Linked DNA regions of Oryctolagus cuniculus. Each later gene encodes a partner of the first gene's protein in a complex. Links are inferred from orthologs where the notes say so. Each region holds a gene or a part of one and is shown on either strand. Other genes may lie near its edges. The genes, in order: ARVCF and PA2G4.

Region 1 (4,326 bases):
GGCTCGGCTCCGGCGCTCCGGCCGCTAGGGCTCGGGCTCGGCGGACTCGCTCCCCGCGGGGGCGGATCCGGCGGCGGCCACGGCCCGCAGCCAATCGGGCGGGGCCGCGCCCAGGCGGGGCGGGGAGGGGCGTGGCGCGGCCCCGCCCCCATCGGCGTGGGGCGGGGCCTGGCCGGGGTCGCCCCCTGGTGCCCTGCAGCCCGGAGCGGGCAGCCGGTCGCCCGTGCCCGCGGCGGGGGTGGCCTTTTCCCGCCTAGCGGTCGCTTTTGCTGAGCGAGCCTCCCGGCCCCCGGTTTGCTCCTGGTGAAGCAGCACGCACGCCCCCTCTGCCCGCAGACTTGGGGAAACTGAGGTGTGCCCCAAGGACGAGGGACAAGGTCATTCCGCAGGCACAAGGCACTCCACCCCGGCTGCGCCTGTTTCCCCTCGCTGTGCGATGGCGGCCCTCCTGGGTGGGCCATGGGGACGGCGGTCAGCTCTGCAAGTTCTCTCGGATCTGGCCCTAGTCCCCACCCAGCGCCAGGAGGTTCCCCCCAACCTCACAGCGCATCAAACCCAGGGCGGGGCGCAAGGGCCGAGGAGAGCACAGACAGCTACTAGGTGGCCCTAGATGAGGCACATCTCTGAGCCAGCCCCAGACCCTGTCTCCTCCTGCTGGGGGCAGGAATGGGGGCTGATCAGAGAGACCAGTCAGGACTGCTGCCCCCTGCAGCCTGGCATCCACCGGCACCACACCCAGGGAGTCTGGCTCTGTTTGGGGGAACGCAGGTAGGGCTGGGGCCACCCATGGCCCTGGTGTCACCAACAAGGAAACAGTTTCTGGGATCAGCAGCTACAGCCTGTGGCATGGATCTTGCCTCCCACCTGCTTCCCCTCCTCAGGGACCCCCTTCTGCGGGCCTGGTTTCGTGCCCAGGAGCCCTGGGTGCCCATCTGAGCCTGCAGACGTCTTACGGCAGCCCCTCGTGGAGCCATCCAGGTCACTCTGAGCAGGAGGGAACCACGCCCAGAGGCTTGGAGCCGGTCCTGTCTTCTCCCCAGCTTCCCCACAAACTGTTCATCCCCCAGGGCCCCTGGTGGACCCCTGCCCACTGGGTGAGGTCAGTCCTGCACCAGCTGGAGGGCCTGGGCAGGCGGCCAGGATTCTGCCGAAGGCCCCGAGCTTCTCATGCCCCTGGCTCTGACCCTGTGGCTCTGCAGCAGAGCACCAGGCCCCCAGGGCTGAGGCTGATCTGGGAGGCAGGTTTGGCTTCCGGGCCTGGCCAGCCTGGTGTGGCCCTGGGAACACGCACGTCCTCCCATCCCAGGCTGAGAAGATTGAGGGCCGAGATGGGGGGGGGGGGCAAGGGACAGTGACCCCCCGGCAGAGCAGCTCCAGGCTGTGGGAACATCTGTCCCTTCCACCAGGGCACCGACCTCCCACACTGCCCGTCCCTGTGCTGGAGAGCAGAGCCTGTTCCCACTCCCGGAGGCCTGGACTGTGTGCCTGGCGCCCAGCAGGCGGCCTCAGGGTCACTATCCCCATGTGGCCTAGTGGGACTATTCCACTTCCCTCCTTGGGTGGAACAAGACGTACCCTCCCAAGAACTGAGGCTGGGGCTGCGCGCAGGGGTGGCTGCGAGGTGTTTGGAAAGAGGGCTCCCCTATGGCGCCGGGAATCTGAGATGCCCACTTGGCTCCGCCTACATCCCTGTGCTGGGCCCTGTGCTTTAAGTGGGTCTCCTCCATGGGCCATCAGGGAGCCGAGGTCCCCCGGTCATTGCCCAGGCACCCCCCACCCCCAAGCCCAACGAGGCCGCTGCTTGGAGTCTCACATGTGCACCCAGGACCGGGCCGGGAGGACACGGCAGGTGCTGGGTGATGTGGGAAGAGGCGGGGCAGCCAGGCTGTGGGAACTGGGCAGGTCCCCCAGGGAACCCCAGAGGCACTTCCCTTTTCTCACCTCTGAGCTGGCTGGCGGGGGTGGGGGGCTGCAGTGGGAACCAGAGGGCCCTCCCCCTCTCCTGGCTGCCACCCCCTGGCTCTGATCAGTCACAGGAGCCACACCCAGCTCCAGGCCTCCCCCTGCACAGCTTGTCGTCCCTCACCCCTGCGCTGGGGACGGGGGAGCTGCTGTCACCCCATTCGCAGGTTAGAACAACATTGTTGGCCCGGAGATCCTGGGGCAGGCAAAAGTCCTCTGTGTTGTGGCTGACCAAGGAGTTACCCAGCAAATACCCTGCCCAGCTGTCGAGGCCCAGGGGCTCCTCAGTGGAGGGTCCTATTCTGGGGGTCTGGCTTTGTCCCACTCGCTCTTCACACGGTGCTCCTCTCTCCCCTTCCCAGCACCTCAGGAGGGCTTGCAAGAACCCCTACTGTGTGCTAGCCCTCGGTCTACTGAGACCCCTGGAGTGTTTTTCTCCCCCTCCTCCCGAGTCACTGGGCTGTTACCTGCAGGACCAGCTGTTGCCAGGCCATCGGCAGGGCCTGCCCACTGTGGCCCACGCCGGGCTGCTGGGCACGCTCCAGCTGCAGAGCCACGTGGCGCCGCTCCTGCTCCAGCGCCCGCGTCAGCCGCTCGAAGCGGGCCTCCTGCTCCTTCACCGAGGCCAGGATGCTGGCGGCCGAGTGCACGCTGTAGTCCTCCATGGCTGGGGTTGCACTAGCTGCAGGCAGAAGCAGAGCATGCTCAGGGCGGGGTGGGTGGTGGCCTCATGGGGGCCCACCACGGGCCCCCTGCCTGCCCACCCAGGCGCCCGGAGCGCACGTCACGAGAATCGCTCCCTCTGGAAGGAAGCCGCATTGATTAAATTCTGAATTAAAAGCCATTAATCCGAGGCCAGAAGCAGTCCGCTCACTCCCTGCAGGGCTCCAGGCTCATCCCAGGCTCCCCTACTTCCTGCCAGGCCCACAGAACCAGAGGATTGGGGGAGGGGCGGCTCACTGGGAAGGGAGGGGGCTGGCGTAATGAGCACTCACTACCTCTCAGGCCTTCTTCTGCCAGGAGCCAGGAACTTCTTCCAGATCTTCCAAGTGGGTGCAGGGGCCCAAGGACTTGGGCCATCTTCCACTGCTTTCTCAGGCACATTAGCAGGGAGCTGGATCGGAAGTGGAGCGGCCGGGACTCGAACCGGCATCCATAAGGGATGTCAGCACTGCAGGCCAGGGTTTTAACCTGCTGTGCCACAGCGCCAGCCCTGCTCACCCTGATCTCAGGAGCCACCCCAGCCCTGTCTCGGGTCAGGCCTGCAAGTAGGCAGAGCTCAGATCCGGACTCACTGCCTGGAGACTGGTATGCACGGCTCGGTGCTCCATGTCCGCCCACTGAGGAAGACTCCGAGCCCCACTGTGTAGTGGGGACACTGTGGAGAACCAATGAGCTGCAGTGCCAGCTGCCAGGCCAGAGCCTCCCACCCCACCCCAGGAGGAAGGGTCAGGGCCAGCGCGTACCCCAGGGGTGAAGGGAGGGACACCATACTGCTGTGACAGCTGGGGAAACTGAGGCCCAGCACAGGCCCCTGCGGCTGCTCCGCCTTTCCCCTGCCCCTGTCACAAAAACAAAACTGTCCCCGTGACCTTGCAGGGACACTGCTATGAGAAGAGGAGCTGTCACAGCCAAAGAACCAAACTCCTGTTGGGAGAGGTGGCGGCCACCACCCAGGAAATGGAACTGGGTCGGAGAGTGGGAGAGACGTGGGAGAGACAGACTGCCAAGGCACACAGGGACAGACAGCAGGGGACATGCGGCCTGGGTGTACAAACTAGCTAATGCCAACTAATGCAATGAACCTGGCCATGGGCCCCAGGTGGGCATGGTGGGGCCTCTTAGGCAGGTGAGTTGGGGGTTTGGGGACTGGAAGAGGGCAGGAGCCAGGCCACCTGAGCCCTCAGCCAAGCCTGGTGGCAGCAATGGACATCTCACTGAGTCTCAAGACCAAGGGACAGAAAGGAATAGGATCAGGACACCGCCCCCCCCCCCGCCACCAGCAGTGGCAGGTGGTGCTGGCCTGGTGGATGGGGTGACTTTCTTCCCTCCTTGTATGCTGCCCGAGCCCAGCCTTCACCTGCATGGCCTGGGGGCAGCTTCCCTGCCCTGGGGTCCACGGAAGTGCCAACCTCCCCTGGAAGGAGACCCCTGCTGACTCTGGCTGGGGGCCCAGAATTCTGAGGCCAGCGGCCAGTGTGAGAAGATGGCCAAACCCTGGCTTTCCCATTGCCTGATTTGGTTCACCCAGAGGGAGATAACCACGTGCCTCCAACGCTGGCCAGCTTGGCAGGCGGTGGAGTCCCGGCAGCACCCATGGGACCACAGAGGCCCGAGTGCCAGGCCTGTGCTGTCTGCCTTCGG
Region 2 (3,805 bases), on another chromosome or scaffold:
AATAACTGTGTGTGTCACTTCTCGCCTTTGAAGAGTGACCAGGACTATATTCTCAAGGAAGGTGACTTGGTAAAAATGTAAGGCTAAGCCATTTTAGAGCGTTTCTCTTTCCCAAGTACTTGCACTATGCCATTCCTAATGTGGTACTCTGCCCTTGCCTTTCAGTGACCTTGGGGTCCATGTGGATGGCTTTATCGCGAATGTGGCTCACACTTTCGTGGTCGGTGTAGCTCAGGTAGGTGGCCTACTTTTGAACTCTGTTCCAGCTGGGGTTCGTTTGCAGGGGGCGAGAGTATGTGTGCACTGCAGTTGCCTCAGCCCTATCCCCTACCACCATGTTTGGGGAGAGTCTACAGAATTCTCTAGAGAAACACTTTTTCTTTAATGTTCATTGGCTTGGGTGCACAAATATTACCCACATGGTGGGCTGAGTTAGCCAGCTTCTCTGAATGGGTTTCCTTATCCACAGGGGACCCAAGTGACAGGGCGGAAAGCAGATGTCATTAAGGCAGCTCACCTTTGTGCTGAGGCTGCCCTGCGCCTGGTCAAACCTGGAAATCAGGTAAGCTGTTTTATCCAGCCCTAAAGAGAGAACCCGAGATGCGTTAGGTACCTGTAGCCACTCTGGACAGAACTGCCAACTTCCCCCACACCCCCTATTTAAAAACTAGCCTTTTAAAATAAGCTGTGTCTTAGGATGGGAATTCTTGTAGAGAAGAGGCAGGAACTAAGCGCTTGACACTCAACAGCAGACAGATCTGTGCTAGGTGCACAGAGTGATGGTTTCTTCCTTAACTGCACGTAGAGATCCTTCTTTTCTTTGTTCATGGTATTTACCTTATTCATTTGAAAGGCACACAAACACTGTTCACTGGTTACTCCCCACGTGCCTGCAATAGCTGGGGCTGGGCCAGGCCAAAATTGGAAGCTGGGAATTCAGTCTTGGGTGATAAGGACCCTGAGACCTGAGCCAGCACCTGCTGCCTTGCCTCCCAGGGTGCACATTAGTAGGAAGGGAGTCAGGACTTGAATCCAAGCTCTCTGAAATGAGATGCGGGTGTCTCATGCAGCATCTTAACTATTAAACCAAATGCTTGCCCCTCTTTTCATGTTTTGTATGTGCATCTGTCCCCAAAATAACTTGAGCTAAGTACCTTACAAACTCAGTTTTAAAGCCTTTATAAAACAAAAGTCAGAAAAAGGATAGGGTGCTGGTGCTGTGGTATAGTGGGTTAAGCCTCTGCCTACAGCACCAGCGTCCCATATCTGCTCCATTTGAGACCTGGCTGCTCCACTTCCAATCCAGCTCCCTGCTAATGTGCCTAGGAAAGCAGTGGAAGATGGCCCAAGTCCTGGGCCCCTGCACCCATGTGGGAGACCTGGAAGAAGCTCCTGGCTCCTGGCTTCAGATTGGCCTGGCTCTAGCCATCTCAGCCATTTGGGGAGTGAACCAGCAGATAGAAGCTTGCCGTCTCTGCCTCTTTCTCCCTGCTCTGTAACATTGCCTTTCAAGTAAAAAAAAAAAAAAAATGGGGCCGGTGTCGCGGCTCACTTGGCTAATCCTCCACCTTGTGGTGCCGGCACACTGGGTTCTAGTCCTGGTCGGGGCGCCGGATTCTGTCCCGGTTGCCCCTCTTCCAGGCCAGCTCTCTGCTGTGGCCAGGGAATGCAGTGGAGGATGTCCCAAGTGCTTGGGCCTTGCACCCCATGGGAGACCAGGATAAGTACCTGGCTCCTGCCTTTGGCTCAGCGCGGTGCGCCAGCCGCGGCGGCCATTGGAGGGTGAACCAACTGCAAAGGAAGACCTTTCTTTCTGTCTCTCTCTCTCACTGTCCACTCTGCCTGTCCAAAAAAAAAAAAAATCAAGTAAAAAAAAAGAATAAATCTTAAAAAAAAAAAAGATAGGAATGAGATGACGATACCAGTGGGCTGGTCCAGAGTTAGCGCTGACTCTGCATGACAATTAGGAAGCCCAGAAGTCCTAAGGTTCTCATAGACTAACAGAATTATACACTTTAGATCGTCAGTGGACACAATTCTCTAAATTTAAATTTCCAGAGGCCCATTCAGTATTTAAAGCATCTTTTTTCTCCTTTTCTGTGTTCTTCCATGCTTCACACTTTTAATTTAGACTTTATTCCTATTACCACTTTTTTAATGCAAAAATATCCATATACATTTATTCATAGGTCTTAATACCACAAAACATAAATGAAAACTGAGAACATTGCTTATTCAGCCAGGAGCTTTGAAATTATTTAATTTGAAATATAAATTGGAGTTTCTCCAGAAAATATATCTGCATGGAATTCACTTTATCATTGATGCTTTAGGAGTACATTTTACAGACAGCAGTAATCAGGCTTCTTGCGTGTTTAAATGGAAATGAACTTGATAAGCATAAAGAAATAACTTTTCTTTTATGTAGCAGCAAAAAGAGTCTCCAAGAAAGAGACTGTTTTCATTTCCTTCCAACTTGGATTCACCATAAACACAATCCACAAATGATAATGGAACTTCAGCAACAGTATAATTCAGCTGTCTTGCCCAAACAGTCATCTCCATCTGGAAGATATGGCCTTTAGAAACACATTTTTCTATTAATTTTTGTAGAACTTCTTTTCATTATAATCTGAAACTTCCTGTTAGATAAGACAGATGCTCCTGGTCTCAGTAAAATCTGAGTAATAAAGTTGCCCCCATGGCTGATCATTTTTCTTTTCAAATATACCTCTCTTTCCTTTGTAGTGAATTCCAGACACAATATCAGAATTTCCTTCCTTTCGCTTCCTGATGAATTCAGGAATAAATTTTGGATAGTGTGAAAGATCAGCATCCATTATGATGGTGTCATTTCCTATCGCATGTTCCATTCCATGAATGTATGCAGTTCCTAGTCCCAACTTCTCTTGAGACCTCAGAAGAATTTTGTCTGGCCCATAGATCTTCTCCAGCAGTTCAGCCACATCTCTCGTTCCATCTGGGCTCCCATCATCTATGATTGTAATTTCTTAGTTCATTCCACTCTTGGAGAAGCAGCCACACAATGAGTGGCGAGTTCTCATGCTCATCGTAGGTGGCAAGAGTACAGAATACTTGCTCTGCTCTTGCCAAGATCTGGGGAGCATCCGACTCCCTTCCACAGGCCACGGTGGAACCCCTGTCACCACTTAATTGCATTATTTTTATTTAATCCTCTTAGTTTCTTTACAGTGATACCTATTCCATAAAGTTGTTACACAGCCTTTTGGACAGGGCCTCAGGCATCCTAAACACCTGAGTGCTCTGTTACCTCACATGTTTAGTTTTATTATGATTACTGTCCATCTTACAGGAAAGTAGTTGCTTAGTGGCTAGCATGTAGCTATGAAATCAGTCTGGGTCCATACCATATTGCCAACTCTTACTATTTTAGAAGTTAATTCAAATTTTCTCATCTGTAAAATGGGAAAAATAAAATTGTGCCTTCTTTCAGGATTCAAATAATTGAGATGATCCATATAAAGTGCTTCTCACAGGACCTGGCACATAAATATTCAATAAATATTAGCTATGATTAATTACTCATTTGACTTAGAGTTAGTAGCTTAGATGAGGATCAGATTGTACCACAAAGGAAAATTAAGGGTGTGCTCTCTCCCCTCAACAGGTGAAACACCAGGTATAAAGGAGTAAACACTGACTTTACATTAGAAACCTAGACTTCATATTTTTCCACTTAATACTTTTTAAAAATTTTTTTATTTTATTTATTTATTTTTGACAGGCAAAGTTAGACAGTGAGAGAGAGACAGAGAAAGGTCTT

What was found.
Region 2: ARVCF (region 1) and PA2G4 share a complex: the UniProt entries of both Homo sapiens proteins name them as parts of the ribonucleoprotein complex. The link is inferred for Oryctolagus cuniculus from reciprocal best matches to the Homo sapiens genes ARVCF and PA2G4.

The regions. Positions count from the first base shown.
Region 1 is NC_091452.1:27,677,186-27,681,511, forward strand, and holds the start of ARVCF (splicing regulator ARVCF), read right to left. Parts: upstream 3,070-4,326; 5' UTR 3,067-3,069; coding exon 2,961-3,066; intron 2,645-2,960; coding exon 2,430-2,644; intron 85-2,429; exon of another isoform or gene 1-84. UniProt on the Homo sapiens protein: Contributes to the regulation of alternative splicing of pre-mRNAs.
Region 2 is NC_091442.1:58,907,382-58,911,186, forward strand, and holds part of PA2G4 (proliferation-associated protein 2G4), read left to right. Parts: coding exon 1-77; intron 78-165; coding exon 166-235; intron 236-469; coding exon 470-562; intron 563-2,358; exon of another isoform or gene 2,359-3,128; intron 3,129-3,805. UniProt on the Homo sapiens protein: May play a role in a ERBB3-regulated signal transduction pathway. Seems be involved in growth regulation. Acts a corepressor of the androgen receptor (AR) and is regulated by the ERBB3 ligand neuregulin-1/heregulin (HRG).